3 linked regions of the Pelodiscus sinensis genome follow. The protein of the gene in region 2 interacts with the protein of the main gene of each other region in a biochemical or structural test. Links are inferred from orthologs where the notes say so. Each region holds a gene or a part of one and is shown on either strand. Other genes may lie near its edges. The genes, in order: MINK1, LATS1 and HTRA2.

Evidence for each region.
Region 1: of the proteins of LATS1 (region 2) and MINK1, one has a biochemical effect on the other in vitro, tested with the Homo sapiens proteins (2 studies listed by BioGRID). The link is inferred for Pelodiscus sinensis from reciprocal best matches to the Homo sapiens genes LATS1 and MINK1.
Region 3: the proteins of LATS1 (region 2) and HTRA2 form a complex in vitro, tested with the Homo sapiens proteins (2 studies listed by BioGRID, with this or other methods). The link is inferred for Pelodiscus sinensis from reciprocal best matches to the Homo sapiens genes LATS1 and HTRA2.

What each region holds. Positions count from the first base shown.
Region 1 is NC_134734.1:8,340,901-8,350,882, reverse strand, and holds the start of MINK1 (misshapen-like kinase 1), read right to left. Parts: upstream 4,140-9,982; 5' UTR 3,871-4,139; coding exon 3,814-3,870; intron 1-3,813. UniProt on the Homo sapiens protein: Serine/threonine kinase which acts as a negative regulator of Ras-related Rap2-mediated signal transduction to control neuronal structure and AMPA receptor trafficking.
Region 2 is NC_134713.1:106,439,655-106,450,305, forward strand, and holds the start of LATS1 (serine/threonine-protein kinase LATS1), read right to left. Parts: upstream 3,852-10,651; 5' UTR 3,616-3,851; intron 1-3,615. Other genes in the region: nucleoporin Nup43, read right to left, coding at 10,128-10,339. UniProt on the Homo sapiens protein: Negative regulator of YAP1 in the Hippo signaling pathway that plays a pivotal role in organ size control and tumor suppression by restricting proliferation and promoting apoptosis.
Region 3 is NW_027465889.1:425,175-434,937, reverse strand, and holds the start of HTRA2 (serine protease HTRA2, mitochondrial), read left to right. Parts: upstream 1-5,324; coding exon 5,325-5,668; intron 5,669-8,688; coding exon 8,689-8,893; intron 8,894-8,995; coding exon 8,996-9,190; intron 9,191-9,553; coding exon 9,554-9,586; intron 9,587-9,763. Other genes in the region: lipid droplet-regulating VLDL assembly factor AUP1, read right to left, coding at 1,523-1,595, 1,680-1,867, 2,489-2,639, 3,179-3,316, 4,685-4,734.

The sequences.
Region 1 (9,982 bases), on a different chromosome or scaffold from region 2:
TACTGGCAGGGCTTAAGCGAGACCTTTTGGGAAAACCTGAGAAGGGAGCTGATGGCTATGATACTGTGTCCAGTACTAGCATCCCCCCTTTAAAAAAAAAAGAAAGATGAAAGATGGGAGAGGGCTCAGAAAAGAACTACAAAAAAGATTCAAGGGCTGGCAAACACACCTCACAAAGCAACTCAATGTATCCATCTTAGCAAAGACATTAATCCTGGTCTGTAAGTACCTGCATGGGGAGCAAATAGCTGAAAGCTAAAGCCTCGCCAATTCCCATTCAAAAATCAGGCATATGCATCCATAGCATGGGTGTTTAACCATTGAAACAAGTGCCAAAGGGCAAGCCTTCCCATCCAGACTGGAGCCTCTCAAAGACACTTTAGCCCAGCTCAATTCTTGAGCTCAATGCAGGGGGAGGTGGGTGAAATTATCTTGCCTGTAAGGTACTAGATTATCTAATAGTCTCTTCTAGCCTTCATCTATGCAACTGGGCAAAAGTAAGGTTGACAATATTTCACGATTGTGGGACGAACAGATTTTGTGCTTAGGTTGCCAGTTAGCAAACGCTGATGCATATCAGGGCTTTCCTTCAGAAATGCACCATGCCCAACCCCTGCGCTTCCAATCAGATAATGAATGTATCACTTCCTGTCCTAAACTACTATGCACAACTGCCAGACCAAGAGTCCATTCAGCCCAGAGGAGGTAAAACAAACCAAGAGTTTCACTCTCCCTTTGCTTTTTAATCCACACTATTACCCATGTCAAATGTCTGATTGTTTAAATCCCATTAAGTTCTTGGACTCTTGTGGCACAAAGTTCCACATGCTTTTTCAATGCAGTGCACAGCGTATCTCCTTTGGTTGCTTTTAAATGTGCTGACTTCCATTTTCATTCCCCAGCCTCTACGAACAAGATGATTTCTGGTGCCTTTTGTTTGGCAGGGGCACAGCACCTAGCCCAGCCCCAGGTGTTAAGGCTAAAGGATCCATCAGACCCCTAATTAACACCCAGAGAGCACAAGTCAGAGAATTCTACAAAGCTACCCCTTTGAGCCCAAAGCTTTGTGCTGGGCTAATGTGGTTTAACCAGATGCCATCAAGAGATGGAGACTAGACAATTTGGGCCAATGGTTAATCACTCACACTGTACAAAACCCGCATTAATGTGTCTGGCTTCATCTGCCAGGCAGTGGGTTCTTGTGCTGCTCCTGATAGGTTAAAGAGCACACTTTGGTACTGAATATCTTCTCTTTGTGAAGATACACTGTGCTCAGTGGAGACCATCAATGCTAGCCACATATGAATAAATAACGCAAGGAGGGTTTGGGGATCCTTTGGGAAGAAGAGAAAGACTGAAGCCAGCTGAGAAGTTCTAGCCACCCACCAGCAATGACAACTGCACAGAGGCGGTGTTACGAAACCTCCCTGTGCTAGTTTGTCTGAGAGAGAGACAGCAGCTCAGTATGGTTTGAAACGAGATGTAATCACATTCTGAAGCTTGGCTCACGGTGCTGTTCTGCTGATGGAGGCGAGAATTCACAGCACAGGCCAACCTGCAGCAGACACTTCGGGTTTTTTCCTATTAAACGCAATTATAAACCGATTCCTGTAAAAAAAGAATGCTGTGCCAGGGACTTCAGGACAGCTGATGATTTATATCAGCACAATGGTTATGGGAGAGGTCTAGTTAAACTGGTACAAAGGCAGTGTTGCCTTGGATAGAGCATTGGGAGACCTATTCCCAGCTCCGACACTCATCAGTTAGTGCCCTCTGATAAGCCACATACTCACTCTGCCTCAGTTTCCCCACCTGTAAAATGAGGATGTGATACTGATCTACTTTGAGGTCAACTGATGAAAAGCATTAGACATCACTGTGACAAGTGATAATACCGGTACAACTACAGCAACCTCCCACTTGGCACGCTACACCTGCACCACTGTAGTGCTTCTGCATGGACACTACCTATACTGATGGGAGGGGTTCTCCTGGTCAAGGGCATGAGTACTCCATTTCAGAAACTCTGCTCTGTACATTACACAGAAATCCCTGGCATGCTGGGCTAATCTTTATTCACCAGCTCGCCTCAACCAGGAGCAGAGCTTTGCACTGCCAAGCTTTTGCAGCAAGGACCTAAAGAACTACCGCTCATTAGTGCTAACGGAGCCCGGTAGGGTGAGGGGGGGCTCTGAATCACCCAGGTGCTGGCAGCATTGCAGGGCTGGTGAGGGGGTTACCACTAGCCCAGTGCTACAGAGGTTAATACTCCAAGACAGGGCCGGTTACTGAACACTAGAGAATCAGATTTGTGTTCTAGCAGATTAATGGGGGTCAGGACAGGGCATAATCCATGTCCAAGTGCCACCATGCATGCTCTGTTGCAAACCACTGCAACAACAGCTCCCTGCTTTGCCACCAGAGCCAGCTACCTACATGTTTACTTTCTGCACTGGCCCTCCCAGCCCCACCACTGCGCACCTGAGTAAGCAGAGTCTAAACAGGGGAGAAGAGAACAGAGTAATGCAGTAATATGCATGTGGAAGAGCCAGTGAGATCATGGCAGAGATGGGGCAATGGGGTAATCCATGGTGACACTAGTGGGGAGGAAAGCAAAGGGGAAGAACATGAAGTCAAGTTAGCAGTGGCGATGCTGTGTGTGTGGATGAGGGGACAGAGTAAAGGCAGGACAGCAAATCAGGGTCACTGCAGTGGTGCTGGGGGTGGGGAGCAGGGAATCAGGGTCACTGTAGCGATGGAGAAAAGCGAGAGAAATGGGGAATCAGGTTCGTTGCAGTGAAGCTGGGGGGGGGGACACAATAAGAGTGTGTGGGGGAACAGTGAGCCAGAGTAAATGTAATGACAGCGAGAGGTGTGGAGAATGGCAAGTCCTGGCCACTGCAGTGATGCCGGGGTAGACAACTGGGTGGGGCGGCGGCAGGGGGCAATCGTAACAACAGTGATACTGGGGCAGACAGCAGGGGGAACAGGGATAACAGCAGTGACACTGGGATGGATAGTCGGGGGGGCCGGGAACGGAGAGCTGGGATAACAGCAGTGATGCTGGGACAGACAAATGTGGGGGAGAGCTAGGGTAAGAGCAACAACAGTGGGGCAGACAGCAGAGGAGGGAATGGAGAGTGGGGGTAACAGCAGCAATGCCAGAACAGACAGGGGGAGGGAATGGGGAGCTGGAATAACAGTAGTGATGTGTGTGTGTGTGTGGGGGGGGTGACTAGAAGCCAAGGTAACAACAGCAATGCCAATGGGAGGGCATGATGGGGAGCTGGGGTAACAACAGCGACTGGGGTAGGGAAGGATATTGGGCAGACACTGAACTGGGCTGCTGTAGCAGCCATGGAGAGTGTGGTTGGCATGCCCTAGAAGTGGCCCCCACAACTATCCCACGGGAAGTGCACGTGGATCCCCCTGGTTGGCGTCTCCTGGCACAACAGCTCCTCTTGGGGGAACCCAAGCCCCCCCGGCCTAGGGACAACGAGGAGAGTACAGCAGAGATGGCGGGGCCCTTGCAGCTCCCACAACAGGGCTCATTTAGCCCTAACACCTTCCCCACAATAGGGCCCCGAACAGGCACGTCCCCCGTTAACCTCCGCGCAGCAGGGCACGGGGGTCTGTGCCCCAGCGCAGGGAGGCCTCTTTCCCCAAAGGGGCCTATCCGAGGGGCCCCTCCCCCACAGGAGGCGGGGGCAGTCCCCTACCTGTAGCCCCCCACAAGTCACGCCCCTCTGACCTTTGACTCCGTTGCCAGGGCCGCTGACCTTTGCCCTCCGCGACACAGCCACACCCGCTTACCCTGAGAGCTGAGAGGTCGATGTCATCCAGGCTGCGAGCAGGAGCCGGGTCGGCCATGTCCGGGGCGGGCGGGGCCTGGCCGGAGGCTCACTGCAGCCCCATGGATCCGGCGCTGGGATCCGCGCAGCCGCCTCGCACCAGCAGCCCCAGGAACCGCACTGCGCATGCGCCAGCGCACTGGGCGGGAGCGCCTGCGGCCTGGGAACGTAAGGCGGAAGATGAAGCTAGAACGCGCAAGCGGTGTGGGAAGAAGGTTCGGCGCATTCGCATTCCTGGGAGTGAGGCGAAAGAGCGCGTCTTTCCCTCCCCTCAATGCGCAGGCGCAATCTAGGAAAGAGGCAGGACCGCGCGTGCGCGAAGCATAAGCCGGGCGGCAGGAAGGGTGGGGTGGTTGAGCGCGTGCAAGGAGGATGTTCCCGCCTTTCTCCGTGTTCCTCGAGGAAGGGGCCTCGGGCCAGAGCAGGGAGGGTGGAATACATGGGCGGGGCCTGTTCCTGAGGGTGGCGGGCCAATGAGCAAAGCAGGGAGGAGCCTGTTCCTTGTTGGGTGGGGGCTCGCTCAGAGCAGGGAGGGGCTGGCCCACCATCTCCGGGCTGCATTGCTCTGCTTGGCTGCCACTAGTCCTTGTCACTGGGGGAGCAAAGCAGCCGGGTCACTGCTCCCGCCCCCAACCTTGCTGGCCTCATAGCTTGGGGCAGGAGGCTCTGGAAGAGGTGCAGTGCCATGGCCCCAAACCCGGTGCAGCTGAGGGGAACTTGTACTGCATCTTCCCCCACCCCTTACAGTTTGGGGCGGGCTCCTGCATGCACTAACCCACCAGTGGAGATGGAGATGGAGGAGGGTCAGGCTTGGAGCAGAGAGGCAGGGAGGAGGCTCCAGCTGCCGGTGGCAGGCGTAGTAGGAGCACATGAGCTGAGGGATGGGGGGGGGGGGGCAGAATGGGATTACATTGGCACCTCCATAGCATGGTGCCCATGGGCAGATGATCCATCTGGCCCCCCTCGCTACGCCACTGCCCCCTCTCCTGCAGATAGATCTGCAGATAGATGATAGGTCATCTTATGCATGTGCAAGATCTGTGAGAGCCGTCCCATGAATCTGCAGCTAGTGTCTGAGGGGCCTGCTTCTGGGTGATGTCTCAATGCTACCACATTTACCCCCAAAGAGGGGGGGCTTCGCAAAGCAGGCCCTTGCTGCTGACTCCCAAGGCATCCACAGATCCAGTCTCCTTTCAATGGGCCCACTTCCCAGGACTCATTGATCTTGGATTTGGCTTCCAGCCCCTCTCCAACCTTTGCAACTGCCCAAAGGTGCTCATCTTCCACCTTATACAATCCCACCTCATTCACCCCACAGGGACGGTCTCTGCTTCACTTGTCCTAGGGACTATTCTACCAAGACATAATACAAAGTTTCCATGTAAAAGGACTCAATACAAAGCTAAAAACTTCAATGAGAGAATGATTAATATAGAAACGTGTCTACATCTGCTGCAGGGAGACACCTCTGCCTGCCTCCACCTCTCTCCCCCAGAGCCTACAGCCCCATTGCAAAGCAGGCGAGGGAAAGGAAAGAAGCTGAGGCCCATTCAATGGGACTGAAGCAGTCATGAGAAAGCCATGCCCAGGAGCCATTCTCCTGTCCATTGCTGGTGCTGTGTTGCTTCAGGCATGCTGAAATGCAGTCACCTCTAGGGTGGGTTGGACAGCTGTTTAACACCTGCACAAGGTTTCAGGCAGGGGGCAGTGCGGGCTGCCTCCCTGCAGAGCTCCCATCAGAACCATTGTGCCCTCCTGGTTTAGGAAAAAAATAAACAGGAGGACTATGTCTAAACTGGCATGATTTTCCACAAATGCTTTTAATGGAAAAGTTTCTCCACTTTTTGTGGAAAAGTGTCCGTGCCAATCTAGATGTGGTTTTGCGCAAGAAAGCCCCCAATCGTCATTTTCGCCATCGGGGCTTTTTTGGGCAAAACAGTTTTTACCTGTCTACACTGGCCCTCTTGTGCAAAAGCATTTGCGCAAGAGGGCTTTTTCCCGAGCGGGAGCAGCATAGTATATGCGCAAGAACACTGACAATCTTACATTAGATCGTCAGTGTTCTTGTGCAAATTCAAGAGGCCAGTGTAGATAGCTGGCAAGTTTTTCCACAAAAGCGGGTGCTTTTGCAGAAAAACTTGCCAGTCTAGATGCAGCCAAGGATTGGAAATTAACCCACCCAGTCTCACGTCCCCTAGGCAGGGAATGAGCTATCAGGGGGTATGTCTACACTACAGCACTAATTCGAACTAAGCTAATTCGAACTAGCGCATCTCGACTTAAAAACTAGTTCAAATTAGCGTTTTGCTAATTCAAACTAGCATGTCCACACAGAGTGGACCCTGAACAGAGGTTAAGGATGGCCGGAAGCAGTGCCAGCAGGGCATCAGATGAGGACTTAGAGCGTGGAGCTGCTGTCTCAGGCTAGCCAAGGGCTGTGCTTAAAGGGACCCGACCCCCACCCCGGACAGACAGTTCTCAGGGTTCCCCACTTGCAAAGCAGTCCTGGCTTGGAGTGCCCTGAGTGCCCACACACGGAACATCACAGCACTCAGCCATCAGCCCGGCTGCACTTGCCACAGGCTGCCATCCGGGGGGAGGGGGCAATTAGGGGGCTGCAGGAGAACTTCCACCCCAAGAAGCCCGCAGAGCCAGCCCAGTCCTCCCCATCGGGGGCGCGTACCCCATTCCTCCCTCACCTCCTTCCACTTACCCTTCCCTAGCCCCCCTTCCTGATGTACAAAATAAAGAAAACGTGTGTTCAAAAATAGAATCTCTCTTTATTGAACAAAACTGGGAGAGACTGGGAAAAAGAGGTGGGAGAGGGGAAGAGAAAGGCTGGGAGAGGGGAGGGCAACTAAAATGATCAGGGGTTTGGAACAGGTCCCATATGAAGAGAGGCTAAAGAGACTGGGACTTTTCAGCTTAGAGAAGAGGAGACGGAGGGGGGATATGATAGAGGTCTAAAAGCAAGAGTGGTGTGGAGAGGGTACATAAAGAATAGTTTTCCATTAGTTCCCATAATAGAAGGACTAGAGGACACCAAAGGAAAGGAATGGGTAGCAGGCTTCAAACTAGTAACAGAAAGTTGTTCTTCACAAAGCAAAGAGTCAACCTGTGGAACTCCTTGCTGCAGGAGGCTGTGAAGGCTAGAACTAGAACAGAGTTTAAAGAGAAGTTAGATAAAGTCATGGGCTACGTCTACACTGGCCCCTTTTCCGGAAGGGGCATGTAAATTTCACTAGTCGTCGTAGGGAAATCCGCGGGGGATTTAAATATCCCCCGCGGCATTTAAATAAAAATGTCCGCCGCTTTTTTCCGGCTTTTAAGTAGGAATAAGACCCTCCGGAAAAGGGCACTTTTTCCGGAGGATCGGGGCCAGTCTAGACGCTCTTTTCCGGCTTTTTTAAAAGCCGGAAAAAAGCGGCGGACATTTTTATTTAAATGCCGCGGGGGATATTTAAATCCCCCGCGGATTTCCCTACGACGACTAGTGAAATTTACATGCCCCTTCCGGAAAAGGGGCCAGTGTAGACGTAGCCATGGAGGTTGGGTCCATGGAGTGGTATTAGCCAGGGGGTAGAAATGGTGTCCCTTCCCAAAGTTTGTGGAAGGCTGGAGATGGATGGCACGAGACAAATGGCTTGGTCACTGTCTTTGGTCCATCCCCTCCAGGGTACCTAGGGTTGGCCACTGTTGGCAGACAGGCTACTGGACTAGATGGACCTTTGGTCTGACCCAGTACGGCCATTCTAAGCTCAGGGCTCAGGGTCGGGGGTCTCAGTGGACCACCTTGATTTTCATGCAAACCTGCTCCTGGGTGGCCAGGCTGGCAGCTCTCCTGCCCTAGACGGCCACTTTCCTATGCCTAGTGCGGAGTTCGTGGACGAGGTCCACAATGTCTGCACTATACCAGGCAGGTGCCCGCCTCTTGCAGTCCTGGCCAGGCTCCCGAGAGCCGCCAGCCTGGTCCCAGGAAGAGGCGGAGGGCTGGGGGGCATCGGGTGGCTGGCTCATGGCGTGCCAGGTGCAGGGTCTGCTGGCTGGGTGCTGGCAGGCTTGCACCTGGCACGGGCACCGTAGTCAGCCCGTGCCCCTTTAAGGGCTCCGGGGCCGGGAGGGGGGCATACGACTTTCCTGGTGGTGCCCAGAGTGGCCACCAGGGAAAGCTGGGGAGGGCTAGTCTCCCACTAGTTCGAATTAAGGGGCTACACAGCCCTGAATTCGAACTAGTAAGTTCGAACTATGCTTAGTCCTCATGCAATGAGGTTTACCTAGTTCGAACTAAGCGCTCCGCTAGTTCAAATTAAGTTCGAACTAGCAGAGCGCTAGTGTAGCGCCTATCAAAGTTAATTCGAACTAACATCCGTTAGTTCAAATTAACTTTGTAGTGTAGACATACCCTACATTAGGCTCCAGCTGGAGTATCGTGTCCAGTTCTGGGCACCACATTTCTGGAAACGTGGAGAAAGTCCAGAGAAGATCAACACAAATGATGAAAGGTCTAGAGAATATGAGCTATGAGGCAAGGCTGAAGGAATTGGCCTTGTTTACCTTGGAAAAGAGAAGACCGAAAAGGGACATGAGAGCAGCTTTCAAGTATCTAAAAGAGTATCATATGGAGGAGGAAGAAAAATTGTTCTCCTTGGCCTCTGAGGTTAGGATGAGAAGCAATGGGCTTAAATTGCAGCAAGAGAGGTTTAGGTTGGACATTAGGAAAAACTTCCTGCCTGTCAGGGTGGTTAAACACTGGGATAAATTGCCTAGGGACATTGCAGAATCTCCATCACTGGAGATATTTAAGACCAGGTTAGACAGACACCTTTCAGGGATGAGCTAGGGCAACTCAACTTTGGAAGCCTCAGGGGCCACACTGATACTTACAGAACATGCTGAGGGCTGCAACTTAAGTCTGGTTGCATATGCAAGCAAATATATACAAATAGCTTCTCTTACACTGACAGGAATGAATGTAAAGATTAAGGCAAGACTATACAACACACAGGCCCCATTTAAGTCAGTTCTGCTGATATTAAAATGCAACATTTACCTGATTTCTACCCATGTGACAGCACTTTTCATGAGCAATGACAGTCCAAGAATTTACCTACTAAAATGCATATCAACAGAAGATCATTACACTGACTACTTTTTTGTTTTGGCTCCCACTCGCTGGCCACATGTTGATCCCCACATAAACCCAAACATGACCCACAGGCCATGTGTTAAGTAGCCCTGGGTGCTTGGTCCTGCTGTGAGGGCAGGGGACTGGACTTGATGACCTCTTGAGGTCCTTTCCAGCTGTAGTGTTCCATACTGCCTGCATGGGGTTAGATGGAGGCTGGTGCCCCCTAGAAGGGACAGATCCCCAGAGCCCATCCATACCTTCATGAGCCAGCCTGTGCCCCCAGCCCTGGGACTGAACCAGAGCCAGTGCCCCCTAGAGATGCCCTGTAGCCTCCTGAGCACCAATGAGATTTTGGTGCCAGGGCCCTCCCTCAAGTGGATCCCTTGAACTGAGGGTCAGGTCAGGCCCTGTTCTCTCCCACACTATGGGGTACCAGGGGCCAGGCCCTATGGTGCCTCTAGGCTGGTGTTGTGGCGCGAGGGGAGTGAATTGGCTAGGTCCGAAGCATTCCCCCTACAGGCCTCGGCAAGCCTGGGGGCGGGGCTGAGTAGATGGTTGAAGCGGGGGCAGAGGATGGCTGCTGGGTATGTTTCTGCCCTTCGCTGCCGTTAGTTGGGCTGCACCGTGGGCTGGCGGGCAGCTGCCAGGACTGTCTCCTTTGAGCAGGGGTGGCTTGAGTGCAGCATGAGCTAGACAGGGCTAGACATGAGCTAGACATGATTGCTGAAGCCTCCCCACCATGCGGTTGTTCCCCACATTAATCAGATTGCAGCAAGCCAGGTTATGCTGGTCTGTGCTGCAGTCACATCTTTGCTACCCATGTAGACAGCCCCTGACCCACTGGAAACTGAGCTTCTAGTCTAGCCTGGTATGTGACCTCAGGCATGTCACAGCCCCCACTGTGCCTCAGTTTCCCCAGCTGTAAAATGGGAACAATGTTGGCCTCCTTGGGAAAGCCCTCTGAGTGTTACCAATGGGGAGAGCAAAGGCTGGCAAGGACAAG
Region 2 (10,651 bases):
AAAGGGAGGGGCATAATACTGAGAATAGCCACTAGGGGCAGCAAGTCTGCAGCGGAGAGCTGTACTTCAGAGACACTAAGGGCAGCTACAGCACAAAATGCTGGGCTCCGCCATCTTGCCTGCCTTCAAACCTACTGCCCCCCTTCCCTACCGCACAAATCTCACTCTCACCCCCCCCACACACACCTTCAGCCCTTCACTTCTATACCCCTCCCTGCCCCACCTGCCAACACACCACCAGGCCCCTGCCCTGCTGGGTAAGTCTTCTAGTTGAATATAAAAGTGGCCTAAAATGTTCCACCGTGACCACCCAAAAAAGTTTTTCTGCTTTTTTACCAGCTTAGAAATATTAATGTCAAATCTTCTTTGTCTAGTTTTGCCAGATTCTTTCCTTGGAAGACCCAGACACTGGAAAGGATACTCTCTTATCCCTGATAAGGGACAAGATGTAGATAATAGCCTGGTCTTATCAGACATTTGAGTTAAACTTGTTTAAGTATTTTTAAACAGTCTACATAATTACTTTCTCTCAATCCATTTTCATTCTTATGTCTGTTCTCTCTAGTCTCAGACCTCTAGTTGTTCACATTTTTAATATATAATCCTTTTTCATGCAATGGTGTAGTGTGCTCTTATGTTTTTCAGTAAACATGGCAGAAATCTTCAGGTATATAATTCCAGGGAGTGTTGAGTATATATAATATATTACAAGATGCTACATGTCTGAATATAAATTGTTAAAAAAAAATCCATCCCTGTAAAATATCTATTAGAAAAATAGTATAGGATTATCTCATTTAAATTGTAATGCATATAGAGATAAGGGTACCTAACTAGCTTCCCTTTGTAACCTTAACTCTTAATTTGGGAAATGTAAATCTTCACTGCAACTTTAACATTAAAAATACTTCAAAAATGCAAAAGTTTAATAAATAGTTTAAAATATGATAATGCAGCAAGTGTGCCATGAGTTATTAAAACAACTGTTTAAAATTATTCTTAAGCAAACAGATTTTTGTTCTTTAGTTTTATTACTTATTGCTTTTAATGTATGAAATGTGACTGCAGTGTTTGAATACACACACATCCCAAAGAAAAGTGAAGGCAAAGGTAACTTACTGCCAGTTCTAAGCTTGACTTTTTTTTGCTTACCAACATAATGGAAAACAAGTTTTTCTGCATCCAAGTGATTACAGTAAAAGCTCTAAAGAATAATTGGCTACAAAAGTGAACATGTAGTTACATTTTAAGGTACTAAAAAATAACTCACTATCATCCAGGAATAAGGTATTTGGGAGTGTAAACTTATCCAAGACCCTGAACAAAATTATCTGATGGCTCAGGAGGGCTAGTAATAAGAGAACATTTAGGTTATTAATTCAAAGTTGAAATTTATAGCACCCAGAAATAATTACTATCAGATCACTACTATGTAAGCTACTTAAAATCCCATTTGTCAATTTACACTGTGATAGAAAATCACTACAAATTCATTACTGATTTAAGTGTTTTCCCAGGAATTTCCCCCCTTGAGGAATTTTCCCCTATCTATAAAATGGAGATAATTATACTTACTCTGTAAACTGTTTTGAGATCCTCAGAAGACAAATGCTATGTACTAAATGTTGCATACAATTTAATGTTTTCTTGGTGGTCTTAGCAAGACAGACTAAAGACCAATGAGCTTGAAAACTGCATTGCTTTGAAACCAAATTGAACTGGTTCCTCAACTGAGATTGTACCAGTAGAACAGTGGTGGGCAAAAAGGCCTCCACGGGCCAGATCCAGCTGCCAAGTGGGTGGATCAGGCCCGCAGAGGACCTGATGCTCCCCCCGCCCCCAGGCCAATTAGGGCAGCAGCAGTCAAAAAATCTAACCATCTTAGGAAACATAAGGGAAGAGTCAGAAAATAAGACAGAAAATATTATAATGCCATTATATACCCAGTCCTTTGACACGGCATGCAATTCTTGTTGCTCCATCTCAAAACAGTAGTATTAGAATTGGAAAAAGTATAGCTTAGAGTAACAACAATTAAGATGGGTATGGAACAGCTTACATATGAGGAAAGATTAAAGAAACTGCATCTGTTTAGCTTAGAAGTCATATGATAATGGAAAAAACACAATCTGTATAGAGAAAGCGAAGTAGCATTATTTATCCCTTCACATAACACTAGAACCAGTGGTCACCCAATGAAAGTAATAGGCACCAGGTTTTAAACAATCATAAGAAAGTACTTCTTCACACCAAGCAATCAACCTATGGAACTCATTGCCAGGGATGTTGAGTTGATCAAAAACATAACTGAATTAAAAAAATAATTACATAAATTCATGGAGATTAAGTTTGTCATTTGCTTTTAGCAATCAGGGACAATCCCCACACTCTGTCTCCCTATGCCTTTGACTGCCAGAATCTGGGCCTGGATGATAAGGGATCAATTGGTAGTTGTTCTGTTCATTTCCTCTGAAACATCTAATAGTTGCTGGTACCAGAAGGCAGGATACTGGGCTAGATGAAACATTAAGCTGAATCTATATAGCCTTTCTTATGCTCTAAAATATTGGTACAAGACAGTCACTGATCCTGCAGCTCAGCGTTGTACTTGGTACAAGACAGTCACTGATCCTGCAGCTCAGCGTTGTACTTTATTTTTCAACCTATATACAAAAATTCAGAGCAGCATGAATACCATCTGCTCAAGTATTAGATTCTCCCTTATCTGTGACATCTAGATGCTTAGAGATGGAAATTAGACTGATGTGTGAACATTAATCAAATTTAAATCATTAAAATGGTGAGATGCTCATGAGATACCCACAGACAAATTAAACTAGGTTTCACTTAAATGAAAGTATGCTAACCAACCTAGTTTCTTATAACTATTTGACTGCAGATGTCAGTGCCGATAACAGCTAAAGAGGCCATAAGGGAGCATTATGTTCAGGGAATGATCTCTCATCCAGGGTAGTCTCCTCAGTATGTTGCCATCCCATCCCTACAGTCCTCAACAGTGAATAGATCTGGGTCTCGAATCACTCACACACACGATTTCAATTACTCCGCTCCCTCCTCCCCATATTTATTTTGGGTGAACAAGGAGAAACGCTTCAAAATTTAATCCAGGGTTCAAATATATAACAAATCCAGCTGCAGAGACCGACTGCAGACCCCTGCACCCACCCCAGGAAACAAAGTGGATTCTCGTCGGTGCTGCCCAGCCCCTGCCCAGCTAAGGCGAGGCGCTGGGGCAGCACACGGGGAATCCGCGGCGAGAGGAATCCCCCCCCGGGGCAAAGCGCTGTGCCGGGGCGAGGGAAGCGGGCTGGGCAGGGAGGCACAGCTGGGCACGGAGCTGCAGACAGGGAACCCCCTTGCGGGAGGCGGGGTCGCACAGCGGCGGGGCCTGGCTTCCGCGGGGAGAGTGGGGGGCGGGGAAGGGCTGGTATTGTCTCCGCTCACTCGGGGGCAGCGCCGCTCACCTCCCCCCACACCCGCCCCGGGCCCAGAGGCGGCGAAGTCGCGTCAATCTGCGCAGCCCAGTAGGGCCTCGCCTCCGCCGGGCACGGGGTGCCCCAGGCCGCGCTCCCCTCCCGCGGCAGCCGGACCTACCTGCGGGGACAAGGCAGCGGCGGCGGCGTCGCCCCGGGCCCACGCGTGTGGCGGGGAGCGGCGCGCTGCGTGTGGCGCTGGGCTCCGCCCGCGGGGCGGCGGCTGGGCCGTTCGGGTCCCCGGGGCTGGTAGCAGCTCGTCCCCTCCCCCACCCCCCGTGGGGCTCAGTTCCGGGCCGCCATGTTCTCGGTGGGTCTGGCGCAGAGGGCTTCCCGGATATGGGCCGTTCCCGGCATCCTTTGCGCGTATCCCCTGCGGCTCCCCCCGCCCCTCCGGATTGGAATGTGAGCATCTCCGAGTCAGCGTGCCGGGCCCGGCTCTACGCGGGAGGGAGGGAGGGGGGGGGGGCAGGCAATGGGCCGCGCCCCCCTCCCTCCTGCTGTGGCAGCGGCGAGTAGTGCACCCTCCCCCCCCCCCCAACCAGGAACCTATGGACTAATCCGCCTGTAGGATTGGTTGGGTGGCTGATGCCCTCCCAGATTCCCTACGCGAGTCTCAGTCACCGGGAGCTCGCAAGTTCCAGCCGCGCTGCAGCCTTCTCAGCAATGGGCTCCCCGGCTCCGGCAGCTGCCTGCCATTGCCACACAACACTGACATCCCGCTACGGGCCAGGCCCCGCGCGGTTCCTTTGCCTTCGCTTCTATCGGCCCAGGGCTGGCAGGGAGCGGGCTCCGACCCAAGCTAATTCTATGTCACTTGTTCCAGGGAGTATGAAATTGGCCATGCATCTGTACATCCCTCACCTGGTTAATTTATCTGCCACTGGCAGCATGAAGGCAGACCGGCATGTGGTGGATTCAACAAGTCTTTAGTTAATGAGATGTGAAATACTATGCAATTTTGTCACAAGCTTGCTCTACTTTCCTAACTGCCAATACTGACCGCGGCAGCATGGTACAGAACTGTTAAATATGGTCAGCTAAAATGTTATCCGGGTTATTTATTAGAAAAAGGCATGGACAGGACCCAGGACTGTAATAAAAAATTCATAGCAACCATGACCTGTAATATACAGATCCTTACATTTAACAGTGAATTTTATGGGATGTGATATAATATACTAGCAGCACAGCATCTATTAATTGGATGCCTTAGATCAGGGGTCGGCAACATTTTCAAAACCAAAAGCCAAACTACATCAAAATTCAAAACACAGAGTCAACAAACAGCTGTATAAGAATGCCCATTTGCATGACTGAAAATATGCAACTTAATATTGACATGATTAACAGTAGCATAAATTAAATATTGTACTCACAGACTTTAATGGGACTTTTTGCTGCATTTTTGTGCACATTTCTCTGATGTTTTTATCGAAATTGGTCAAATCCAGCTTTATGCATGCATTCAGGCTGTCATCTGTCAACCTTATGGCAGGGGTTGGGGAGGTGCAGGAGTTTGGGGATGTACAGGGAATAAGGGGCTCAGGGGAAGAAGTTCATGTGTATGATGGGCTGTGAGGGTTGGGATGTGTGGGGGAAGGGGAGGGAGATGAGGATGTTAAATTGCAGTTGTAGCTAATCGTGTAATTCATACAATTTATATCAATTACATGATTAGTTAATAAGGGGCAGTCTACAGAGCCACAGCAGGGGTAGCTCCAGGAGCCAGCACTGAGCAGTCCCAGGTCATGCCAACTCCAGAAGCCACCCACCCTGCGGCTTTGCATTTTAAACGTAAGCAGGACCACTGGGCTCTTACTACATTTAAAATGCAGAGGCAGTGTCCCAGACCAACACAAGTCCAGCAGCCCCTATCGATGAGGGGGCCCAGCTCACAGCTGGGACCACCATGGACAGAGGCTGCTACCAGAACAGCCTCCCTTATCTCCCCCCTCTGCTTCTAATAGAGGCAGGGGAGGGGGCAGGCAGCACCCTAGACATGGTGCTGGGGAAAAATCAGCCTTTAAGCCAGCTGGCTCACCCAGCACCAGCTCTTGGTCCCTCCCTTGCTGCCTCTACAGAGAGGGAGTAAGTAGTCAATACTCCACTCAACTACCCAATAAGCTTGTACTTAGCAGCCATAATTATAGACAATGTTGAAACCATTTTGTTGGACATAATATTTTCCTTCATTTAAAAATGAAGCCTGGCCAAAAAGCCTCCAATTGGGGTCCAGCCCCCATTTGGCCACAGCATCATAACACTCCTGCCCTGGGAACATTAGCAAGTAGTCAGCTAGTCAACTACCCAATAAACTTATGGTTTCATGCACTCGAGTGAAATATTGACTACTCATTTCCTCCTCCCTACCACTGCCTCTTGGAGATAGGTTGTTCCCTTTTCAACCTAGCTCAGACGGGAGAGACTTTTGAAGGCGCAAGAATCTTCATAACCGTGTACAAAAAATAAAATCAAGGTCTCCCAAGAGGTTAAAAACTCTGAATACAAATAAAGATATAGGAAATAAGGCCTTATCACAAAAAAAAAATATATCCAAGAGCAAGCTGCCTAGATCTTCAAAAAGCTGCATCACCTCATTTGGCATAGTAGTGGCATATTTTATCTAACTTCTGAAGAAAAATGAGCATGTTGCATCATTTTGTACAAATACAAAGTAGTGATTTTGAACACAAATTTGAGCTTAGCTTGTGAAGTTTGTTTTCTTGCAAAAACCCTTCAATAGAATTATTTGCAATTCACTAAATGTTATCTGCTACGAAGTTAGAGTAGCCTTGTAAGTTAATGGTGTATGTAACTTAACATTTAACGTATAATATTAAATAAGACACTCAAAATACATTTATCATAGATCATTCAGTCACTTTCACTTTACTGTATTCAGAAAGGGAAACAGATGTAAAGATCCTTGGAAAAGTGGCTGTACCAAGTCAGTAATATCCATAGGTTCTAATTTTGGTGACATGCAACTACAGCTGACCTCTGGCTACCACTGCAATGACCACTTTCTGGGCCCAAGTTACAAAAAAATCCATTTCTCCCCTCCCTGACAGTAATCTAAATCTCACCTCCCAAAACCCGTGAGAATTCTCCTTTAGCCCCTCTTTCCCTGCACAGTGATACTTCCCTTTATTATGAATGGTAAGACTATTTAGGTGAGAATTATTTTTTTGGGGGGGAGGGAAGAGGAGAAAGCAGAGGTGTTGATGGTTCAGTCTACTACTGGTGGAAAATAGGTTGAACCATAGAAAATGAACTTCATCACTGCAATGCACAGGAAGAGAGCAGCCTTTTAAGTTGCTATTAGGCATATTTTTTTTTTACAGTAATCTGCAAAATAATTATGAAGTATCTAATAATTCAAAAATACATGAAAAAGGAACTATGACAAGTTTAAAAAAAAAAGCAGTTTGGCCTTCTTAACCTTAGAAATACCTGAAACGTGAAATCTGGTTTTTAGAGGACCAGCAGGAAGCGTTAAATTACTATGAGCACTGACCATCTTAATTGAAGGGCCTAGGGTGTTAAGTCTAAGACTTCTATTCAAACTCATTTAAGTTCATTTTTTCTCTTGTGTAAAACTTGTTTAAGAGTTTTGAAAGGCAATTAGAAAATTCTTCTCCTTTTTTGCTGATATTCTTTTCACTATTTCTCCAGGTATCAGAGCATTCCAGCTTAGACAAGACTTGAATTCCCATTTTAAGAAAACCTAGCAAAATTTAAAAAACAAACAACAAAATGGTCTGGTAGCACTTTATAGACTAACAAAACATGTCGATGGTATCATGAGCTTTCGTGGGCACAGCCCACTTCTTCAGATGAGCAGAGTTTGAAGAAATGGGCTGTGCCCACGAAAGCTCATGATACCATCGACATGTTTTGTTAGTCTATAAAGTGCTACCAGACCATTTGTTGTTCTTTCCTGTACAGATTAACTTGGCTACCCCCGAAGCTAGCAAAATTAAGACATCTCTCCATCTCCATCCCTAACCCCATCTTTCAGCACTTCTTACGTGAAACAGAAAAACAAAACATATCTTCCTCCACCCGCTTTTCTGTAGGTTACCTTTAAAGAACAGAAAAATAACGTGCCGTACAGTTCTGAAAGTCAATCTTTCCTATGCATTCTACAAATGTCCAATTATTTAATATAAACATGTTTTAAAGTGTTTTAAAGTTTCCTGTCAAAACCTGCAAATGGTCAAAAGGACAGCTGTTTTAATTATAATTGAGGCATTTTATTTAAGTGGTGCACTCTCTCTTCTATTATGCAGAATACTCTCCAGTTTTCCTGTGGTTATTTGGTGGCAGAGAAGCTTATGCTTACACTATGATCTCTATCTTGATCCTAGATCTGTAGTCATGTCCCCAGTTGGGATTTACAAAGACTGATAGCAGACATAGTCTATCTACAAATCATTTCAACGTGTACAAGTGCATCTTTTACAGGTAAACTGCAATAGTACATATTATCCTTTACAATAGGGGAGAATGTATAAATTAGGGGTTTGCACGAGTATATAGCTACAATGATGTACATATACTGGTACAAAAAGAAATACAGAGTATAGATGGAACCCAACCTTCAAGAATTTTCACCACTTCGAGGTAGCTGTTCCTAACAAGTGCATGTAATGAGTCACACATAGAAGTATCAGTTGACAAATCAACCGTCATGATATACAGTGAGCCTGAATGCTAGAAAGAGCTAATGTTTTACTGTCTAACACTTGTATTCCACACAGTCATCTTTCTTCATAGAGCTCAAACTATGTTACAAAAGGTAAATAAAATCGATTGGCCTTATTTTATAAATAATAAAACAAACAGAGATATTACTTGCCCATACCAAATCACAGGCAGAACTATGAAGTACGGTCTTCTAATTCTTAGTTTTATCCTGTCAAGCAGTTCACCTTGATTTATAAAATTACTCTTTTTAGAAATAAAGTTGCATAGAAGGGTGACTGTCCCAGAGCCACAAGGCAAATCAGCAGAATAGAAGTCAGAATGTATGACTGTCCTATAGTTTTACCTCTGGACAATATCATAGGCTTTATAACTTTACAGCTATGTAATCACTCAAACGGTGAATTGTGTTGCTGAAAAGCTAGCTATTCATCATTTGCCCGGATGAAGATATTCCAATATACCTATGGACTGATAGGACAACAGAATTAGGAGGTGGCTTTACACCCCTGAGAACTCAAGCTATTCAGGCCCAATCACACATGCTAATCTGTACCAGTGGACCCTTGTTCCAGTGTAGAACCATATTGTGGGGCCTTAAAGTGCACATGCTGCATATTAAGATCAACTTCAGATGGAAACTAATTCCATTACCAGAGTAGCAACGAGAAACCTCTGAAGGCAAGTGAAAACAAGGTTGCTTGAGAGAAGCATTATGAAGAGTTGTGGAAGCAAAGCTAAAAAACTTGGGCACAGGCAGGGAAAATATTACAAGACTTGCCAGAAATAAACAAGAATGGAGGAGCTTCATTGCTGTCCTAAGGGCCAGAAGTGTAATGGGAACATAATCTATCAGTTAACTGCAATGACACTGAACTAAACCTATAAAATGGCCAAATTTAGCTTATTATAAAAAGTCAAAGATAAACAATAAGAATGAGTAAATAGAATTCTGGTGGAAAAACACACATTTATTAAAAACATTGCAGAAAGGGTTCCTTGTTATAAAAGCTAGACATAAGTTATTCATGTGTTAGGCACTTTTATGAGAGTTTTGTTTGGCAACACTTAGATTTAGTAATCCATCAATTTTGAGAAAACTCATGACTGAAGCTTTGTCAAGAATGCTTTATTATCTGAACTTGACCATAACAGGATAATGCTTGTCAGATGTCTGTCTGTCTAGCACCAATAAAGACTAACTTATAAACATAATTTTTCTACAGATCAAAAGTGTATAGGCATAATGTCTATATCAAACGTTAACCTGCCCTTACCAGTGCTATTAGCATTGTCTTAGATTATTACAGCTCCAAGATTTTTAGATTTATGGGACTTAACTATCCACCATTTAAACAATCTTTTCTGCATTCCATTAAATTCAATTTCCCCTTCTAGTTGACATGCAGCAGCATAACAATTGCATGGGAATGTTTAGATATAAAAATGTCAAGTTAAAAGTAATAATATTTCTATTAGGTTGTCTTTAAAAGAACCTAAGTTTTGGCCCTGAACAAAATACTTGAGTATTATTACAATAGCATGAACATTAACAGAGTTCAAGTATTTCACACTTTTAAGCTACTGTAACACCCTTATAACACTATATTTAAAATACCATTTATTTCACTACTGATTGTTTTTATGCTTGCCAAGTAAGAAGTGCAAAAGGCAGTTGGGAATAAAGAACGTTGTACTTAATAATGTATGCTAACTGTTGTTTCATTCACTGGATGCATAAGCATCTATGGTGATGGAAAAGTTCTCAAGAGCCTTATGTAGGTTGTCCCTCTGAACTACTAGGACTACGTTATAGGCCCTTGTGTTACCAGGCTTTATTTTTTTAAAAAAACCTGGAATACTTAGGACCTTTCCTACTAGTTTTTGAGGTGGTTAAACTCAAGAGTGTCCTTTAAAGTATATTCAAGAAAAGAGGTGCCTATTAACATAAATAGCTTCTGAATCAGTACCACATACTAGACAGGGTCCTAAAACATCCAAAGTATTCACGGATAACGTCTGATTTGGAACTAAATTGGTGATCTCCATGCGGTCTTTGGTAGGATTGTTGTTTAGCCAGGCACTTATTACAGACTGGTTAGCCGTGTGAGACAGAACTGTAATACTTCTTCCACCTTAAAAACAAAACAAAACCACACAAACAAAATAGGTTAGCTTTAATTTTGATTTATTTAGTCTCTGTATTGAGGTAGCATATTAAGCATCCAACCAAAATATTGGGAATACCAATCTAAGGCTAAGTTCCAGATTGAATTGATTTGATGGGTTTAGTTGAGTCTCCAGGGCTATGTCTAGACTGCAAGCCTCTTTCGAAAGAGCCTCTTTCGAAAGCGACGAGGAGTCCTGTGGCACCTTATAGACTAACTGAAGTGTAGGAGCATAAGCTTTCGTGGGCAAAGACCCACTTCGTCAGATGCATGTCACAT
Region 3 (9,763 bases), on a different chromosome or scaffold from region 2:
CTGCTCTAGGTTGTGGGCCTAATGGAAGCCTGGGCAGCCAAGCCTCAGGCAGTGGGCTCTCCACATGCAGTCCCTGCCTGCTGCATTGGCCTCATCTGACCCTGCAGCTGAGACAGGAATCTGCACTTGTGACACTGACAGATTCCAGCTTTCAGCCTCAGCAAACATCCACATGCCTTGCTTGCCAGAGAAATGGCACTAGCTCTAGCTCATGTGACAGCAAAATAACCACTTACCCTCATCTGCCAAGTACAGAGCAACTCCTTCCTATCCCTGAGCCCATCATGTTATTGCTGTATCCGTCTGTTAAATCAGTTCCTCTCTAGCCAAGCCCAAATTCACAGCTTTCAAGGGGGCCAAACACATTTAACAGTGTCATTGTGGAGAGAGAGCTCACTGGGATGAGCATTGGCCTTCTAAACCCAGAGTTGTGAGTTCAATCCTTGAGGGGACCATTTAGGAATCTGGGGCAAATCTGTCAGGGATGGTACTTGGTCCTGCTGTGACGGCAGGGGACTGGAGTCGATGACCTCTCAAGGTCCCTTTCAGTTCTATGATCTATTATATTATATTGCTGCCATATTAACAGAAGCATCAGAGAAGAAAACTTGTCTGTGCTTCATGCATAAGTCTCAACCTCAGCTCAGCTCCTTGCGTGACCATGTGGTCCCTCAGGGCTCATCTATACTTATGGGAAGATCGACGCTCTGGAGGTTAATCTTCCTGGGTTCTATTTAGCGGGGTCTAGTAAGGACCCACTGACTCCATCTCTGATGGCACTGCCCTCAACCCTGGTACTCCACAGGGTCTTGACGAGTGAAGGCAGTTGACAGGAGAAACTCTCCCACTGACCTCCCACTGTGTGAACACTGAAGAAATTTGATTTAAAGCAGTAGTCCCCAACCTTTTGGAGCTGCCGGGCGCCCGGAGGCGGGGCCACCCATGCATCTGGGACTGGTGCTGCGCATGCAGGGCCGGCCCTGAGCACTTGGCGGGCGCATGTAAATGTCCCGGCGGGTGCCATGGCGCCCGCGGGCACCACGTTGGGGACCACTGATTTAAGGTATTTTGACTCCAGCTATGCGATTCTTGTAGCTGTAGTTGTGCATCTTAAATTCAATGCATCCCGTAGTATAGACCTGGACTCGGAGAATAACTTCCTGCACTTCCTGAACTTGTGGGTGTTATGACAGTAAGCATATTAAAATTGGCAGGATGCTAAAGTACTAATGACGGGAGCCAGAAAAAAGGCCTTGCCTAGACAGGCCAATCGTTACTAATATTACCACTGGAACATAAGAGATGTGAGAGAGGCAAAGACAACGTCAGTGAAGTGCCATGGGAGGAAGCCGAGAAGTGAGTGTGAGATGGCAGGAAAGAACCCCAAAGCAGAGCAGTAGACCACAAGGCACAAAGTAACAGCAATATTAATGCTCTAGCTATGACCTCCCCCGCCCTCCGCCCCAAGCTGTACAGGCCCATCATGGGATACAGGATCTTTGCCCCACACCTCTAGACTCACCACGGCAATTAAGGGCCTCTGAACTTGCAGGGCCACTGGTTGAATCACATCCAGAATTGAGAATGGCCAGGAGCTGGAAAGAAAACATCCCAGAGATTAACAAGGGCCACAGAGATGAGCTAAGGCTGTCCCCGGGAAAGTCCCCCATCACCACTACCTGAAGCGAAGAAGGCCAACTCGGCCATTAGTGGCTGCCTCCTCCGGGAACAGCAGCAGAGGTGGATTCCCCCGATGGGAAGAATACATCTTCAGGGAATCCACCAGCTCTGCCCGGCTCCCTACTGCCCCCAGCTCCATGAATCCCCGTGACCAACAGATGAAACCTGGTGTGCCATTCAAAGCAGGCTGTAAAAAAAAAGAGCACATACAAATCAGTGATCCTCACTCAGCCTCCCTCAAGAGACTCTACCCAGCGGGTTGATTTGGGTCCTAGCGTCCCAAAAGCTCCTTCCTTCCCCTCCCTGGACAGCACAGGAGCAGCTGGGTGTCCTCCAAACAGCTCTCAGTTATGAATGGGAGATGGGGGGCCTTGTTACAAGATTGGTTGTACCATCCTTCTCCCCACCAACACAAGTCTGTTGCTTTTCAGGACTGTTTGAAAGACCCTTATCACACAGCATCACACACTGCTTCCTAGGCAGGTGCAGATAGCTCTCTGCACTCACAGGAAACAGCCAGCACCCGGGGAAAGCCCCAAGCCCAACTGTGCTTCTGCTTATATCTATTTAAAGAGCCAGGAGGGTGAGGCAGAAGTGACAAGTTTGCTTGGATGGCTTGGTTCATTGCCTGTCCTTAACCTGAACCAACCAGAACCTAATAGCACAATACACAAGCCTAAAGAGACACTCAAGGCTTGTTCAATTATTTGTTAAAAACAAACCAAGGAGCCATTCCCAAATCCCTGAATAGGGAATTCTACCAAGGGAGGTGTATAAGGGTGTAGCCCAAGATCCTCGCATAACTCACGGTATTGCATGGGGTCAGCAGGTTGATGACACTGTGGTCGAAGTAAGTCACATGGTTGGCAATATAAACCCTGATGCTGGCATCCCGGAGATTGGGGTCACTTTGCCGCACAAACAGACCCAACACCGAGCACATCACACGCACGATAAACCTGATAACAGGAGCAGAGGCCCCCATCATGACCAGAACTGCTGACAAGTGAATAAAGACTAGGCTGTACAAGCACTATGGAATGAAGCCCGAGGGGCACCAGAAACGTGTCACGTGGAGAGACAGGGTGAGTGGAAGGAAGCTCAGGGCTGCATTTGTAGGGACACTGGTGGAGCTGTGTAGGGAGCGCTCAGGATTGGAATAGTGAGGGAGTGGTGTCAGGTGTACTTGCTGGCAATTTGCCTTGTCTCTCTCAGCCCTGCAGTTTGCACTTGGACAAGAGAAACACATTGTCCGGCAGGTCCTGGAATCACCAGCAAAGGAGCTTAGGGCTAATGAGGACAAAAGGCACGAACACAGAGCATCCACAAATATGAAGTGTACCCCTATCAGCCAGCCCCAAGAAGCCAGGGGTACGGAGCTCCCACTCCATTGACAGCAGAGGGGGACCCCACAGGACAACTTTACATACAGGTAGGAGATGGCTACTCACTGGATTTGGGGATGGAAAGCTCACAAGAGCCCCACGCTCACCCTCACCTGCGGAGCAGACTGTCTGGCAGAGCACAACTGACCAGGAAGACGTGGACGCCGATGAACAGGCGCAGGAGGAGCAGACAGAGTCCCACGGGCGCATAGAGCAGCAGAGCCAGCAGCAGGAAGCCATCGCTGGGGAACCTGAGGGGGAAAGAGGGTTCAGGTCAAAGTCCACTGCCAGGTGCTAACTGATCCACTGCCCACCTCCCGCTGCTCCCAGGTGCCCGTGCCCTGCCCCCCCGGAGAGCGAGACCCCCCCCCGATCCGCCCGCCCCCCCCGGAGAGCGAGACCCCCCCCATCCGCCCGCCCCCCCCAGGAGAGCGAGACCCCCCGATCCGCCCGCCCCCCGCGGAGAGCGAGACCCCCCCGATCCGCCCGCCCCCCCCCAGGAGAGCGAGACCCCCCCGATCCGCCCGCCCCCCCCGGAGAGCGAGCCCCCCCGATCCGCCCGCCCCCCCCAGGAGAGCGAGACCCCCCGATCCGCCCGCCCCCCCCAGGAGAGCGAGACCCCCCCGATCCGCCCGCCCCCCCCCAGGAGAGCGAGACCCCCCCGATCCGCCCGCCCCCCCCCAGGAGAGCGAGACCCCCCCGATCCGCCCGCCCCCCCCGGAGAGCGAGCCCCCCCGATCCGCCCGCCCCCCCCAGGAGAGCGAGACCCCCCCAATCCGCCCGCCCCCCCCCGAGAGCGAGCCCCCCCGATCCGCCCGCCCCCCCCAGAGAGCGAGCCCCCCCCGATCCGCCCGCCCCCCCCAGAGAGCGAGCCCCCCCCGATCCTCCAGCCCCCCCCAGGAGAGCGAGACCCCCCCGATCCGCCCGCCCCCCCCCGAGAGCGAGACCCCCCCGATCCGCCCGCCCCCCCCAGAGAGCGAGCCCCCCCGATCCGCCCGCCCCCCCCAGAGAGCGAGCCCCCCCCGATCCGCCCGCCCCCCCAGGAGAGCGAGCCCCCCCGATCCTCCCGCCCCCCCCGGAGAGCGAGCCCCCCCGATCCGCCCGCCCCCCCCCAGGAGAGCGAGACCCCCCCGATCCGCCCGCCCCCCCCGGAGAGCGAGCCCCCCCGATCCGCCCGCCCCCCCCAGGAGAGCGAGACCCCCCCAATCCGCCCGCCCCCCCCCGAGAGCGAGCCCCCCCGATCCGCCCGCCCCCCCCAGAGAGCGAGCCCCCCCCGATCCGCCCGCCCCCCCCAGGAGAGCGAGCCCCCCCGATCCTCCCGCCCCCCCCAGGAGAGCGAGCCCCCCCGATCCTCCAGCCCCCCCCAGGAGAGCGAGACCCCCCCGATCCGCCCGCCCCCCCCCCCGAGAGCGAGACCCCCCCGATCCGCCCGCCCCCCCCAGAGAGCGAGCCCGCCCGCCCCCCCCAGAGAGCGAGCCCCCCCCGATCCGCCCGCCCCCCCAGGAGAGCGAGCCCCCCCGATCCTCCCGCCCCCCCCAGGAGAGCGAGCCCCCCCGATCCTCCCGCCCCCCCCAGGAGAGCGAGCCCCCCCGATCCGCCCGCCCCCCCCAGGCTCTCACCGGTGCGCGTCGAAGAGCCGCTCAGGGCTCGAGGCGGGAGGAGGCTCCATCCCGGTCCCGAGCCACCGCCTCAGCGAGGCCCAGGACCCGCCGCCATCTTACCCACGGCGGCGCCCTGCGCGCGGGGCCCTCTGGGAAAGGGAACCCGCGTGCGCCAGAACGAGCCTCCCGGCATGCCCCGCGCGGCTCCCTGCCTCTCCCGGCCTGCCCCGCGCGGCGCGTCCAGCGTCTCCCGGCCTGCCCCGCGCGGCTCCCTGCCTCTCCCGGCCTGCCCCGCGCGGCGCTTCCAGCGTCTCCCGACCTGCCCCGCGCGGCGCGTCCAGCGTCTCCCGGCCTGCCCCGCGCGGCTCCCTGCCTCTCCCGGCCTGCCCCGCGCGGCGCGTCCAGCGTCTCCCGGCCTGCCCCGCGCGGCTCCCTGCCTCTCCCGGCCTGCCCCGCGCGGCGCGTCCAGCGTCTCCCGGCCTGCCCCGCGCGGCTCCCTGCCTCTCCCGACCTGCCCCGCGCGGCGCGTCCAGCGTCTCCCGGCCTGCCCCGCGCGGCTCCCTGCCTCTCCCGACCTGCCCCGCGCGGCGCGTCCAGCGTCTCCCGGCCTGCCCCGCGCGGCTCCCTGCCTCTCCCGGCCTGCCCCGCGCGGCTGAGCATGGCGGCGGCCCGGGCGCTGTGGCTGCGCGCGGCCTGGCGGGGGCCGGCCCGGGCCCTGGGGGCCGCTCCCTGCGCGGGCCGGGGGGAGCCGCGGCCGCCCCCTCGCGCGGGCCGGGCCCGCTGGGCGCTGGCGGGGGCGGGGGCGGGGGCGCTGCTGCTGCTGCTCTGGGGCCGGGAGCCGCCCGCGCTGCTGCCCCGGGTGCGCGCCGCCGTGCCCGCCCCCCCCGCGCCGCCCGCCCCCCCCGCGCCGGGCCCCGGCTCCGCCCGCGCCGCCTTCAACTTCATCGCCGACGTGGTGCAGAAAACCGCCCCCGCGCTGGTCTACATCGAGATCCTGGGCAGGTACCGCCCCCCCCGGGACCCCCCCGGAACCCCCCCGCCCCCCTGGACCCCCCCGCACTGGTCTACATCGAGATCCTTGGCAGGTACCGCCCCCCCCGGGACCCCCCCGCCCCCCCGGGACCCCCCCCGCACTGGTCTACATCGAGATCCTTGGCAGGTACCGCCCCCCCCGGGACCCCCCCGCCCCCCCGGGACCCCCCCCGCACTGGTCTACATCGAGATCCTTGGCAGGTACCGCCCCCCCCGGGACCCCCCCGCCCCCCCCGGACCCCCCCGCGCTGGTCTACATCGAGATCCTTGGCAGGTACCGCCCCCCCCGGGACCCCCCCGCCCCCCCCGGGACCCCCCCCGCGCTGGTCTACATCGAGATCCTGGGCAGGTACCGCCCCCCCCGGGACCCCCCCCGCGCTGGTCTACATCGAGATCCTGGGCAGGTACCGCCCCCCCCCCCCCGGGACCCCCCCCCCGCGCTGGTCTACATCGAGATCCTGGGCAGGTACCGCCCCCCCCCCCGGGACCCCCCCGCCCCCCCGGGACCCCCCCCGCGCTGGTCTACATCGAGATCCTGGGCAGGTACCGCCCCCCCCCTGGACCCCCCTGCGCTGGTCTACATCGAGATCCTGGGCAGTACCCGCCCCCCTGGAACTCCCCTGTCCCCCGGGACTCCCCTCCTGACCCCCCTGGTACCGCGCCTGCGGTGGTCTACATCGAAGTTTTGGGCATGTACCCCCCCCCGAACCCCTATGCTGGTCTACATCGAGATCCTGGGCAGGTACCGCCTCCCCGGGACCCCCCCGCCCCCCCGGGACCCTCCCGCGCTGGTCTACATCGAGATCCTGGGCAGGTACCGCCCACCCCCCCCCCCGGGACCCCCTCCGCCCCCCCGGAACTCCTCCGCGCTGGTCTACATCGAGATCCTGGGCAGGTACCGCCCCCCCCGGGACCCCCCCGCCCCCCCGGGACCGCCCCACGCTGGTCTACATCGAGATCCTGGGCAGGTACCGCCCCCCCCGGGACCCCCCCGCCCCCCCGGGACCGCCCCACGCTGGTCTACATCGAGATCCTGGGCAGGTACCGCCCCCCCCGGGACCCCCCCGCCTCCCCGGGACCCCCCCGTGCTGGTCTACATCAAGATCCTGGGCAGGTACCGCCCCCCCCGCCCCCCCGGGACCACCCCCGCCCCCCCGGGACCCCCCCGCGCTGGTCTACATCGAGATCCTGGGCAGGTACCCGCCCCCCCGGGATCCCCCCGCCCCCCCGGGACCCCCCCGCGCTGGTCTACATCGAGATCCTGGGCAGGTACCCGCCCCCCTGGAACTCCCCTGTCCCCTGGGACCACCCCCACCCCCGGGACTCCCCTCCTGACCCCCCTGGTACCGTGCCTGCGGTGGTCTACATCGAAGTTCTGGGCATGTACCCCCCCCCCCCCCCCCCGAACCCCCATGCTGGTCTACATCGAGATCCTGGGCAGGTACCCCCCACGCTCTCCTGGACCCTCCTGGCCCAGCTGGTACCACCGCCTCCCAGTATTGCCCCAGTGCTGGTCTACATGGAGATCCTGGGCAGCTACTGCCCGACCTGCTCTCCCCGCCCCGCAGCATCGCCTGGCTTCAACCTGCTCCCAGTACTGCCCCTTGTGAATCTGACCTGCCACTTACCCCTTCCTGCCCTTGTACCATCTCTCCTCTCACCTTGTTCTCTCCTCTTCCAGAGAAACTTTCCCCATTCTTCAAATCTGCTTCCCCTCCTCTCCCCTCCCCGCCCCACCCATACTGACCCCCAAGTGTTTCCCTAAGTATGTGTCATTTGATTGGCTGCATAGAAACCCCTGCTGCTGTGTTTGTGTGTATCACTCTTGGGTCGGGTGCTCTCTAGTAAGGATGTAAAATCCACTTAATTAGTTAACCAGTTGAATGTTAAGGGGAGCTAGTTATCTGATTAAACAGTGGTAGGGGAATTTCCATCCACTAGTCCTTAGGCACTTCCGCATTTCTCCTTTGAAATGGACAAAAGCCCCAGTGGGGACTCTTGTGCATTTCAAAGTTGGAACTCTGCATGCAGCCGAGGGCCAGCAGGACTTCCCCTTGGTCCCAAGTGTGCCAGCTTTGGAATGTACAAGAGTCCTCAGCTGACCACGGGATCCATGCGGCGCTGCCCCTTTGAAATGCCTCGACGCTGCCACTTTAAAGTGCCCCCTCTTCCCTTCCCCTTTGCTGCTGCTTCTATCTGATAGAGGCAGCAAGCAGAGGAGTGACTAGTCGACTCGACTGTCTGATTAGCATTTGCTTATTGGATAGTTGATGACTGCTCAACGTTTCCCTCTACTCTCTTCTAGTCAGTCCCTGGCAAGGAACGATTCAGTTGCGCCGCCGTGCGCGCTCGTGCTCATGTATGTCAAAATCCTGGGTGGGCATTGAACCGTCTAGCCCGGGGTGGGCAATAACTTTAATGAGGGTCGCGGGTCGCTCTGGAAGGGGAGGCCCTTTAAATAGCAGGAGGCGAAAGGGCTCGCAGCTCCCAGGACTTGTGAGCCCTTTCAACTGCTTCTATTTAAAGAGCTCGCACCTTCCCTGTGGCTGCAGACAACGCGTTGCCTGCCAGGATAGGGAAGGTGCAAGCCCTTTAAATAGAAGCAGTTGAAAGGACTCCTGCATCTCCAACTCCCAAGCAACGCGCTAGGAGGTGGGGCCTGGAACTGCTGTCCGGGCCTGATTCAGCCTGCCAAGAGGCTTTTGTCCACCCCGATCTAAACTGTTGTCTGCCTGGAGGAAACCTGTCCCTGCCCTAGTCTGTCTAGAGATGTCTCTCACCCCTAGCAGAGAGCCATGGGAGGGGCCTGTCTCCTATGCTGGTGCTCAGGTGAGCAGAGGTGTGTGTTCTGGCAGGAGGAGAGATTGCTGATAGGAAGGAGGGGAGCCAGTGCCTTGAAGAAAGGGGCTTGCGGATTTCTGTGGTGGTTTCTGCCCCCCATCCACACTGACTGGCTTTTCCAAAAGCTACCTCTGGTTCTTGTCCTGTAGGCATCCCTTTTCAGGCCGGGAGGTGCCCATCTCCAATGGCTCTGGCTTTGTGGTGTCCCCAGATGGTCTCATCGTGACTAATGCCCACGTTGTGGCGAATCGGCGGCGGGTGCGGGTGAAGCTGGCTAGCGGGGAGCTCTACGATGCCGTGGTCCGTGAAGTCGACCAGGTGGCAGATATTGCCACCATCAAAATCAACCCCAAGGTGTGTGGGGGCCAGGAACGTTTCACGGGACTAGCCCCTGCATTGGCTGCCTGCAGGTCTCTTGATAGAGCTGTGCTGACCCGTGCTTTCTCTTCCCCCCAGCAACCTCTGCCCACGCTGCCCCTGGGCCGCTCCGCAGAGGTGCGGCAAGGAGAGTTTGTGGTGGCTATGGGCAGCCCTTTTGCTCTGCAGAACACCATCACCTCCGGCATTGTCAGCTCTGCTCAGCGAGGCAGCCAGGAGCTGGGCCTGGCCGATTCCAACATGGAGTACATCCAGACCGACGCTGCCATAGATGTAAGGGGAGTGTGGGGCGGGGGAGGGCAGTGGGGGCACTGGCTGAACCCCACAGTTTGTGCATTTAGAAGAATTTTGCTGCTAGTTGGGGTGGGAGCTGGGGAAGGGGTCTGCATGAGGGGAGTGTTCAGGCTGTCCCTTGTAGGAAGAGCAGGGAAGCAGGGGATCTGGATTCTGCCCCAGGGCCATTGGTTGTGTTTGCTGCCTGTGTAAGCCAGAGGCACTGAGAGGGAGCCTGAGTCTGCACAGCAAAGGCTTCAGTCTCCCGCTCAGTGCCTCTGGCTTACGCTGACCACCCTGGTTCTCGGATTTTGTCTCTGCTGCTGCTGTGGCTTAACTCTGCCCCTTTCTCTCCTGCTGCAGTTCGGGAACTCGGGGGGGCCCCTCGTCAATCTGGTAAGTCCTGCTGTTTGGGTGTCTTCCCTTTTTGGGGGGAACACAGTGCCCCTTTGGGCTGCGTGCTCCAGCCCTGGCTAACTGGCTGTGTGGAAGTCGGGATGCCCACCTCTTGCTGCCAGCAGGGAGTATAGAGATGTCTATTCATCTCCCAGGCTCTGCTCTGGCGTGACCGAG